Linked DNA regions of Oryzias latipes. The protein of the gene in region 1 purifies or fractionates together with the protein of each later gene. This does not show direct contact. Links are inferred from orthologs where the notes say so. Each region holds a gene or a part of one and is shown on either strand. Other genes may lie near its edges.

Region 1 (5,219 bases):
TTAGAAAATAGAAGCAGAATGATCCAGAATGAGAAAAGACACAAAGTTCTGTTGCTTTGAGCACAGCAGACAGATTGGTCGGTTTGTGTGTCATTTGTGAGGATGTCAAAGTTGTCCGTGATCATTTGGGGATCAAACCCTTTCAGCTGTGCCGCTGCGTCCTTCAGCCCCGTCCGTCTTAGCTCTGGCGTTGGTGGAAAGCAGAGCGAGGAGGTGACAACAGGTGGAGGTAATCCAAGATGCGTCACACATCCTGTCAACTGCCCCCCCCCCCAGCATTGTGTACATTGTGTAAGCGGGAGCAGTGGGCCGGGACAGCTGGGGGATTGGGTCTGTGCTGGAGGGCGTCCTGCCGCGCCGCAGCGGCGTTCAGTGGGTCGTTTGGTTTGTGCGTCAGCGTTTGTGTACATATGTCTGCGTCAAAGAGGCAGATTTTCTAGAAGATTTCACGACTTTTTGCTCCGGGTGAACACCGTTCCTCTGAAAACGATGCGAGAAAGAGCGTTTTTGTCTTTCATCAGAGCCTTCCATGAAGATGGGAATGGAGCAGAAGAGGCAGCCTACTAGAACACAAACTTCTACGCTGCTGTTGGTCAGCGGCGTGAAAATGTTCACAAAGACAAAGAGCACTAGCATCAACGCTACCTTAAAAACAGCCCTTCAAAGGAGAAACCAAACCTCTGTGGGATGACGTGGTCCCGTCTGTTCACCTCCAGGCTGCTGCATTCTGGGTCAATTTAAGATCCTGGGGTTCTAACAGGAAGTGTTTTACAGGAAGTTCCCACTTCCCTGTAATACAGGAATGACATGGCTTTGAGTGAAACTCACAGCTGGAAAAATTGGAGAAACCAAAGGAAGGAGCATGTGCAGCTTCTCTGCTGAATGAGGTCTTTATGGCCCCACATCTATGGGATGTTCAGGTGCAACATCAGGAGGGGGTTTGGAGACCACCACGGTCACGTCAGAGAAAGACGCTGCGCCACAGCCTTCAGCCGTCCGTCAGTCGATCCCACCGAGGACTGATGGACGGAGTCAAGGGTGATCTGCAGCTCAGAAGAATCTGGAAGGTCCAGCATCAGAAGATCAGATCCTCCGTGTGCAGCGGAGACTCAGTCTGGGTTCTGGATCCTAAACCAGTGAGATCCAACAGATCCCGTCAAGAACCAATAAGTGATTCAATCATCAATCATCTTCTTTCTGAATCTTTAGGACTGAAATGTATTGATTGTTATGTTAATGTTGTTTTTTACTTTAAAAAGGATCTATCTAGTATAAATATCATCAATATGTTTAAACTGATGGTTTACTTTATTTGCACTTGTTTGAAATGGTAGATTTACAGGATTAACCAAAGTTACTCAGACTTCAGAGGAGGCTGGTCTTTCCTGAAGTTCATCTGTGTGGTTTTTGGTTTTCTCATGTTGTTGATGGTTTTATAATTACGATCAGCATCGGCTCTTCAATTCAAACTATTTATTCTTAAATAAATGGGTTTAACTGAACGCATTTGAACATTTTAGCATCTTGACGTCCAGGTTTTTATGAACTTAAAGTAAATCATCCACCAAACGTTTCAACATTTAAAAAGAAGCTGAAAGATTTGAAAAGCTTTTCCTGTTTGTTCATAAAGAGCATCGGTAGTAGAAGCAGGAAGGGGCTGAACGTTAACACGTCTGAGCGGTTGAAGCAGCTGAGGACGTTCAGATTTACGGTGCAGAAGAGGGTTTTCCCGCCTCCAGCTGACGGACAGGGGGGGGGCACGCCAACCAGCCGGCCGGCCGATCGGTGCTTTCCTGAAGCGGTTTTTCTCTCCTGGTGTCCTTGTGGGGATCTCCAGGTTCATCTGGAAAGCAGAAGGTCACAGCTGCATGTTCACGCGTTCAAGAGGGAGGGGGGGGGTCCCACTTCCCATCCCGGTTTGGAATTACCCCCCCTCCCTTCCTTTCCCAGCCTGTTCTCCGGGTATTCCCTCTCTCTGCTCAGACCCCCAGCGCCTCACTTCATGCCACCATGACACACTTTGCGGCCGCGGCGCCGTGCGTGTGCGCCATCGGCGGCCTCATCAGAGGCCTGAGGAGCAGACTCAAGTCGCTGCGGCGGCTGTTGCTCACCCGCCGCCGTCCTCGCCCGACCCGGAGCTTCAGAGGAGAGCCCTTCCACAATCCTGGGCTGGAGAGCTGGAAGCCTGTGGGCTCCTTCCTGAGCCGTCATGCAGCAGACCCCCCCTGTGCGGCTGTGAGTACTCACTGGGACCCCCCCAGCCCCCTGCATGTTTGAGGGTCCCCCCCCCGCCTCTGACAGCTCACAGCGGCAGAGGTTCAGCTGTCAGCCGGGCTGTGGTTCACGCTGCCCTTCAGACAGATGAGCGTGTCGCCGAGGTTTAGTCTGCTCGTGAGTGACAGTCACAGGGCTCGCCGCCGTGCACGTGTGTGATTGGCATCAGGTCACGGCGCGCTTATCCTCTCCTGCACTGGCGTGTGCCGCCGTCAGACCTTTGTTCCACGTAAAGATAACAGTTTGGACGGCTGCAGTCAGACCCGTTCCAAGTCCTCCCGGAGTGTCGGAGGACTCCAGCTCCAGCTTTTTCACGGATCAGCTGTCACTCTCAACAATAATAAGGTCATCGTCTCCGCTTCCCAGCAGCTGTTGTTGCGTAAGATGAAGGTGGAAGCACGAAAACATCCTGAGGCCTCGTGAGTTGGTGATGAACTCAGGTGAACATGTGGTTGAAACCGGATTTTTAGCGTTTCCTGCAGGATGTTTGCTGCATCTGTCACTTCAAACCGATGCGGGTTACTCTCTCCTATGGCTTCATTTTCAGAAACGGTCGTACTTCTTCATGTCCTCTGCATCTGGGGATGGAATAGAATAGAATAGAATGCTTTACTGGCAGCCGTCGTCTTAATGTGCATCTGGAGACACAAAGGTGTGGGGTGTGGTGTGTTTAGGAGCCTGATGGTTCTTGGACAGCAACTGTTTTCACGGCTGTGTGGGATCTATGGTCTATGATGGCAACAGTCTGAATAAGTGATGACCAGGGTGAGATCAGTCGGTCAGGACTTTTCTTGGCTCCCCTGAGGCGGCGTGAGCTGGAGATGTGCTCCAGGGGGGGCAGAGGGCAACCGATGACCTTCTCGGCCGTCCTGGTCACCCTCTGCAGGGCCATCTTGTTGGTGGGACTGTCCCAGGGGCAGAAGATAAATGAGAACAGGTTGGTTTGGGCGTTCTCTCCTGAGAACCAAAGACTGACCGTCTGAGGCACTATTGCCTGAAACGAGCTCCGACCAGGACTGGAGCAGAAAAGCTGCTCGTCCACTCCATGTTGACCCGGCAGACATGCTTCCTGCTCCTTCAGATCCATGCTGTGGGCATGCACACCAGAGTTCACCTGCAAGTCAACAGAGATCCTCATTCTGAAGAGGACCACGGTTCTCCTGTTTGGTCCGGATGAAAGTTATCACCCGACCTTTTTGGCTCCAAAAGGGATTCTTTTATTTTGTTGCTTTCTCTCTGTTTGGACTTTTTATGCATTAAAAAAAAGTTTTAAGTTCACAAGAAGACTTTAAGATGAGATCAAAGCAAAAAAAAAAACTTTCAAATGGAGAGAAGTCAGAATGTTTATGTTGTATTCCTTTTATTTGATGTTAATTATAAAATGCTGAGGAAGGTTTTTTCGTGGAGGTTCTGTGTCCTCCAGCTGTTTTATTAGATGTATGTATTTCCAAAAGCATCCATCATTTCTGTGACATTTTAACGTTTAACTGTAGGACTCTAAATAAACACAGAGTGCAGGAAGTTTTTCCAGCGTGAGCATAAATGTGAAGGCTGAGCGGATGAGTGACGATGCTGAAGGTCAGGAATGATGAAGCTGCTTTAGTCTGGAGTTGTTCTTATCCAAAGTGTGAACATTATCAAAACCATGCTGGACTGCATGTGAAGAAGCTAAACGTCGTCTGAACTGGAATGATACTTGCAGCTGCGAGTTTGTAGGATCTCTGCAGGATTTGAAGGTTTTCGCTTTTACTTTTTAAAGAGTGAGAAAAAAAACCTAAAGACCAGTAAGAAAAAAACTGACAGCTTTCAGAGGAAAACAGCCTGGCACAGGTGAAAGGGTGAGCTCTGCAGCGGTTGTTGTGTAACGTCCTTCTCTGGATCCCTCGTCTCCATAAGCGCTATGAGTTCTGGATGCACAGACTGGCAGAAGTGGTCCTGAAGGCCCCCTCCCTGCAGGCTCGGACCTGAGGGGGGGGAAGCAGGGTTTGTGTCAAGCGTCTGCTGCTCATAACTGCATTACACCGCTCTCTGGGAGGCTCTAACTCGATCTGAGGAGGTTTGCAGGAGCGCTCTAACCCGCTGATGTCCACTTCTGCCCGTCCCAACACGGTGATGAAAACCTGCATCGCTTCATGGGACCAGTTCAGGAGCAGGAAGCATTGAAATGCTTCAAAAACTCACTGAAACCTACTGTGACAGAAGGACAAAGAAGGTGCAGCAAACGGAGGAAAAAGGAAAACATGCACAAATACCCTTTTCTGATAAAGTGACTATAAGACAGAAAATACGTCTGAATTTCCCGCCGACTCCAGAACTACTGAAAATTGAACAAACATGAACATTACACAAAGACTTTTTATGAATCAACTGTGTTCTGATGACAAAACCTGCATAGTTTAGACAAAGAAACACACAGAAATACATGTTTTTTTCTCACAACTATTGTTTCAATGCAATGCATTATGGTCTATATTCGCCAATCTAGTGAGCATCTATGCACACTGGTTTTTCGCAGAGACTTCTGGGAAATTTCCAGGCACTGGATTTTGGAATTGTAGATTCAGACAGCAGTAGAAAATGGTGAGCACTCTGTATAGTGAACTAAGTAGTGAGTAGTGAAGGAATTTAGACCCAACCAGAGGCTCAGTGTACTGAGGGCAACACTCCACCTTCGTTATTAGCCATCAACATGAGGAGACGCTCTGATGTTGATGACTATGACACATCAGTAAATCCAAATACCAAAGGCTGTCACTATGACCCGAGTTCAAACTCAAGTCCTTCAGAATCTCAGCATCAACACCACTTATTCTCCCTGTGTGGAACCACACGTACACTACATGTTGAGCTATTTCTTCCGTAGTCCTTTGAATGAGTGGGAGCAGCAACACAAACTGTTGTGGCGCCAGAACAACATCAACACAGCTCCCTGAATTTAAAGGGAG
Region 2 (5,219 bases), on another chromosome or scaffold:
TTTTTGTGAGCCATCTCTCCATCATGTGACCCCCACACACTTGATCTATAGTCACATGACTCTACAGCTGCTCAGTTCTTTAATCTCTGCACCTAAAGGAGAAGTCAGATACGCACAAATCCTCTTAGAAGTTTCAAAAAGGAGCGTGCCGCTCTGGAAGACTGTGGAGCGCGAGGAGCTGCAGTCTGGAGCCAAACTGTCTGACATTAAACAACAGAGGAGAGCTCAGGCACCTCCTCATCGGAGCTGCAGGAACCGGGCCGAAGCAGCAGAGAGGAGATCTCTTTGGAGGAAAAAAATGCTTTAAGCATTTTCTGAAAAAGTCTGAAAAGAAGCACAGTTCTGATTTTCTTCACTCCTCCTCATGTCTCTCTTGTCAGCATAAACTCCTCCCCATCACGGGTCATGGCGCCCCCCAGAACCACCAACCCGGCTTTAGCGCACAAACACACTGCAGACGGCCCAGACAGCAGTAAAGACGTCTCCACCTCCAGCTGAGGAAACCTGCAGCTCCTGATGCTGAACTTCATTAGTTTATTTGTTTAAACCTCCACACCCAAACTTTCAAGTTTTATCAAATGCAGACCATAAAAAATGTTTTACAGGAACTTTGATGAAATCTGTTTTTAAAGAAGGAAAATTTCAACTTTGAATCAGAAAACGTTACAGTAAATATATTCTAAATTTGCTGACAAAAAGGCACAGTCCTGTTTTATATTTCATAAACAGAATTTTAACTATTTTAGCTGTTAACTATTTGGTATAATTTAAGTATAATGTAAGACACCCCCCCCCCCCCATCCAACAGATTCTTGCCGCTCACCTTCGGGTTCCAAAGTGGCCTCCTCCCTGGCAGCGGTGAGTGGCGGCCGGGCCAGGCCCACGGTCAGGAGGGACAGCAGGATGGCGGCCAGCAGCCAGGCCATCCTGTTAGTGAGGGATGACACTCCCCATGCCCCCCTCTTCCACCTCCCCCTGGACACTGATCCCATCTGAGGGGGTCCGCCCAACCATCAACTGCTGCCCGGTCGGCCGGTCACTCACTGGAATTCACACCAATCACCTGGATTGAAAAAGGGGAGGAGAAAAGGCTGGAGTTGAGGAAGAGGGGTGAAGGAAAAAGTGAGAAAAGAGGAGAAGAGGGTCAGCTGAAATGAATCCTCCAGAACTGATTTAGCAAAGATTTTCTTTGCCTTCCTTAAATGCAGCAGAGGGAGCAGCTCGGAGCTGAAAAGCTGTCAAACAAGCCATGCCACAGACATACCAGAGCTGCAGACACTCGGTTCTAATCACATGCTGGGCAATATTGTCGAAAAACAGGGCAGAGTCATTTTATTGGAGCTCTCGGTGCGTCAAACCTGTTTGCTTCAAACTGCAGCTGCCAAAGCTGGAAGATCCGACTCCAGGAGTTGATTCAACTCACAGAATCAGATCTAGAGAAGCTCTGATAAGATGACCTGTTGCAGCTCAGCCCACCTTCCCTCATATGATGGGCCGGGGAGACAGAAAAGGTCACCGCGCTTTTCCTGCGCAACCTATGGGCCAAACCTATATGCGCTGCGTCCCTAAAAGCCTTTTTATTACATCACTGCGATCTGATTACGGGCTTTAACCGAGTACCGGGGCTCTGAAGACACATATGGACGGCGCGCGCGCGCCGCACACACGCGCGGCTGACAGGCCTCTGGAGGTTAGCTGAAGTCACGCTTCTCTGCGCTTCTTCTGCTCCAGCTGGACGTATCGATTGTCTTTACGCGCAAAGGCATTTGTGGTTTGACTTTTAAAGGGCGAAGACAAAACCTACACAAGCTGTTTACCCTAAAGCCCCCCCGGGGGCCACAGGCGCTGCGGCGCACCTGATGCTGATGCAGATTCAGAACTTCTTCGGGTGTGTTTTGGGAAAATGCATCGTTTTAACCTCTCAATTCAGCTCGGAGTCGCTCCAACATCATGTGAGGCAGAAATAAACTAAGTCATCAGAGCAAAAATCCGCCTCATTACTGCTGTCTGTCCGGAATCTTTCTGCAGGACGAAAAACATTTAAGTTCAAAAGATCCGTTTTTTAAGAATCCAGTTGATTAAACCAGCAAAAGAAAAAAATGACAAATGATTTTCAGCTCATTTAAGGAGGAAAAAGAAGCAATGTTACAAAAATCCCAGGAACGAGCATCAGAGCGCAGAAGTTAGTGCAGAAACGTGACGTGGGACTTTGCGCCGTGCGCCACCGAAGCCTTCATTTAAAGCCACGCTTTGAATGAAATGTTTTGGCGCTGCCTGAATTCCTTTTGACATTCAAAACAGTTGGCTTTCTGCACAAAAGAGCTCGTTTGGAGCCGTTCGGGGATTTAGGGCTCCGCAACGAGCCGCGAAAAAACAACTGCGGTCACGCGCTAATTGGCACCATAAATGCAATGTAGAAAATGAAGCAAAGTAATAAATAACCAGGACAGTTGATGAGGGTTTGGTGCGCGCTTCAAGTAAACAGGCGGACACTTTGCTGCTTTTTCCTTTCTAACATTTGATTTAGGATAAAAGAGGAAGCAAAAACTTGAGAACTTCCACCAAATTACGTAATAACTCAGGTGAAGAAAAGCCCAAACTGCAGAGGGAAGCTTATGAAATTGTTGTTTATAAAAACACAAACAGAAGCGACTGCTTTTTCCCAGCTCTGTTTTCCGTAAACCGAAAAAAAGAACTTACCAGGGAGCCTGGAATCGCGATGATCTGTGTTTTGGCACAGATAAGGACTGAGTCAGTGAGCGTGAGCTGAATCCACAGACAGGAATGTCTCCAACTCCACACAGCGGGAACAATCTGGGAGCCTGTTCTTCGTTTGTTATTCCACAATCAGCATCGACGCGCAAGAATATTCCAAAGCCGTCTGGCTGCGTGGTCCACTGTCTCCAAAAACAAATCCGACTTTACGCGCGTCAGTTATCCTTGGAAAACAGCTCGGTAACCATTGCGCCGTCCCCCCCGTCCCCCCTCAAAACTTTTCTCCCGTCACCGAGTTCCTCCTGCTAGAGCGCAAACATCCCCACCGCTCTCGCGGCGCACTTGTCAGCTAAACACAAAGTTCGTGGGGCTGTAGTGAAGCTGGTGGAGCGCGAGGGCAAAGCTGTCCGGGGCGCGGCGTCCTAAAATCCATCAGCGCGCGTGCTCCTGCGGCGCGAGCGGCGTCTCATGCGTCTCTTCCACCGACAGACTCCGCTCTGCCTTCAGCCGCTTTGTCAGGTTTGGTCGCTTTTTCTCCTTCTTGCGTCTCCGTACACCGCCTTCCTCCTTCCCTCCGGTGGGTGTCATCCCCCCTCCTCCTTCCCCCTGCACCTCCTCTCCACCCACTCACAACCACTCCGAGCGTAATTTGAGCTGCTCCCTGGCTGCAGCGCCTTCGAGCCCGGCCTCCCCTCCGCCCATCAGGCTGCAGACCTGCCCGCGTGCGCGCAGCTCGCTCCCATTAATGGGTCTAACGCGCGCGCCCTCCAGAACAGCGCCGCCCAGCGGCCAACGCGCGACTGCAGCAAACTCATGTGCTGCGCGCGCCAACCGTCCTGGAGCTGATTCAAGATTTTCTCTCTGGATGATGACCGCGGCGGGAAAACATGGAGCAGTTTTTTTGGGAAAGTCTGTCAGATCAGATCTGGATGATGAAAGTCACATTTCAGCGGGAATCCAACACACGAAGAAGAAATGAAGGTTTGGCGCGGTGGTGTTATGTGACCCGAAATAGGAATTTCTCACATTTCTGACATCAATGTGAGAAAAGTTTCAGGAGGAAAGAGACACGACGAAGAGCCAATCACAGCCAATGGTTTCCGTACAGTTGTCCAAAAGTTTGCATGTGAAATGATCATCAATAAGGTTTCTTTGGATCCTGGAGGAACAAACAACAGGACTTGATTTTACTGTTGTTTTATTTTTAGTTAAAATGTTTCAGAGGTTTATTTATTTATTTATTTTCACTTAATTATTTTGAGAATAAACTTAATAAACTGCGACAGACTGGCGACCGGTCAGGGGTGTCCCCTGCTTTCGCCCACAAGGGGCCGAGATAGGCTCCAGCAGCCCTGTGACCCCGAAAGGGACAAACGGATTAGAAGATGAATGAATGAATGAACTTAAGGTGTAACCTTTAGAAAAAAGCAAGCTGCACAGCTGTCCTCTTGCTGCAGTGTCACATTTTAAAGTGACAGAACATCCTTCACTTTTGGTAAAAAGGCAGATATCCTGAGAGTCTCACCCATTTTTTATAAACGTGTTCTCCAGTAAAAGTTCCTTCAAAACATTATAAATTCATAAAAAATCAATATCTCTAAGAGCTTGTAGTGAAATCACAGATCCTCTTAGCCCTTGTGCTGTCTTAGATGACCCCACCCTTACATTGACGTGTTCTCCCTACCATGACAAAGGTGGATAAAGGTGGAAAGATTTCATGTAATCCATGGACACCAGTGAAGATCACAAATCATTGAAGAAAAAAGGTTCAGAGCACTGTCTAGTGGGTCTAGATGACCCAACTCCCAATGTTATAGTACCTAGGATAGCACAAGGGATAAGGATCAGATGTGACCGGACCTTCCCCTGAAGAAACGTTTCGTGGAACAACCGCTCTGTGAGCCATTTCCTGAAGTTTTATTTTAAGTTTGAAAGTTTGAAAGAATTTAGCAAAAGGAAAAAATCTGAAAGTCTGTTCATTTGGAAAGAGTCTGCAGTAAATTGAGTTCCCCAAAGGAAAGTGAAGGCGCCCCCACATCAACGCCAACCACAGCCCGGCTGTCTCTCCCATCACTTCAGGCGTTCAAGTCCTCTGACAGAGACACCCGGGAGGCGGGGGGGGGGGCTCTAATCTCCACAGACTTTTTATCTTTGTCTTCTTTTCACTGCTCAAGTTCTCTTTTCTTAAACAAGAGGAGGGAAATGCTTCCATTCATGCTGAAAAGAGGCACTAACAAGCCTTTCTCTGAGGCGGAGGCTTGGACAGTGAATAGGCGGTTGTAGGTGTTTTTGTCTCTTCCTTCTGCAGGAAAACCCTCCGTTAACAGTGCAGCTGACTGTTTGCTTGCTTGGGAATGAGGGCTGACAGAGATGAGGCCACAAACTCAAACACATTTTTCAAGGAGAAGCACAAATCGGCCGCCTGCAGCTTCCCCTTTCTGTGCAGCACTTTTCTTGCAGTCCTTTTTACAATTAGCCGATTTATTTTCCACCATTCAGGCCTC

The links. Proteins that work in one complex are often made in the same cells at the same time.
Region 2: the proteins of ribosomal protein S6 kinase alpha-3 (region 1) and fgfr2 purify together in Homo sapiens (affinity purification with mass spectrometry; 3 studies listed by BioGRID and IntAct, counting the BioPlex papers as one, with this or other methods). This does not show direct contact. The link is inferred for Oryzias latipes from reciprocal best matches to the Homo sapiens genes RPS6KA3 and FGFR2.

The regions. Positions count from the first base shown.
Region 1 is NC_019878.2:2,774,047-2,779,265, reverse strand, and holds the start of ribosomal protein S6 kinase alpha-3, read left to right. Parts: upstream 1-1,995; 5' UTR 1,996-2,010; coding exon 2,011-2,235; intron 2,236-5,219. UniProt on the Homo sapiens protein: Serine/threonine-protein kinase that acts downstream of ERK (MAPK1/ERK2 and MAPK3/ERK1) signaling and mediates mitogenic and stress-induced activation of the transcription factors CREB1, ETV1/ER81 and NR4A1/NUR77, regulates translation through RPS6 and EIF4B phosphorylation, and mediates cellular proliferation, survival, and differentiation by modulating mTOR signaling and repressing pro-apoptotic function of BAD and DAPK1.
Region 2 is NC_019873.2:29,203,525-29,208,743, reverse strand, and holds the start of fgfr2 (fibroblast growth factor receptor 2), read right to left. Parts: upstream 3,264-5,219; 5' UTR 2,701-3,263; intron 1,092-2,700; 5' UTR 993-1,091; coding exon 824-992; intron 1-823. UniProt on the Homo sapiens protein: Tyrosine-protein kinase that acts as a cell-surface receptor for fibroblast growth factors and plays an essential role in the regulation of cell proliferation, differentiation, migration and apoptosis, and in the regulation of embryonic development.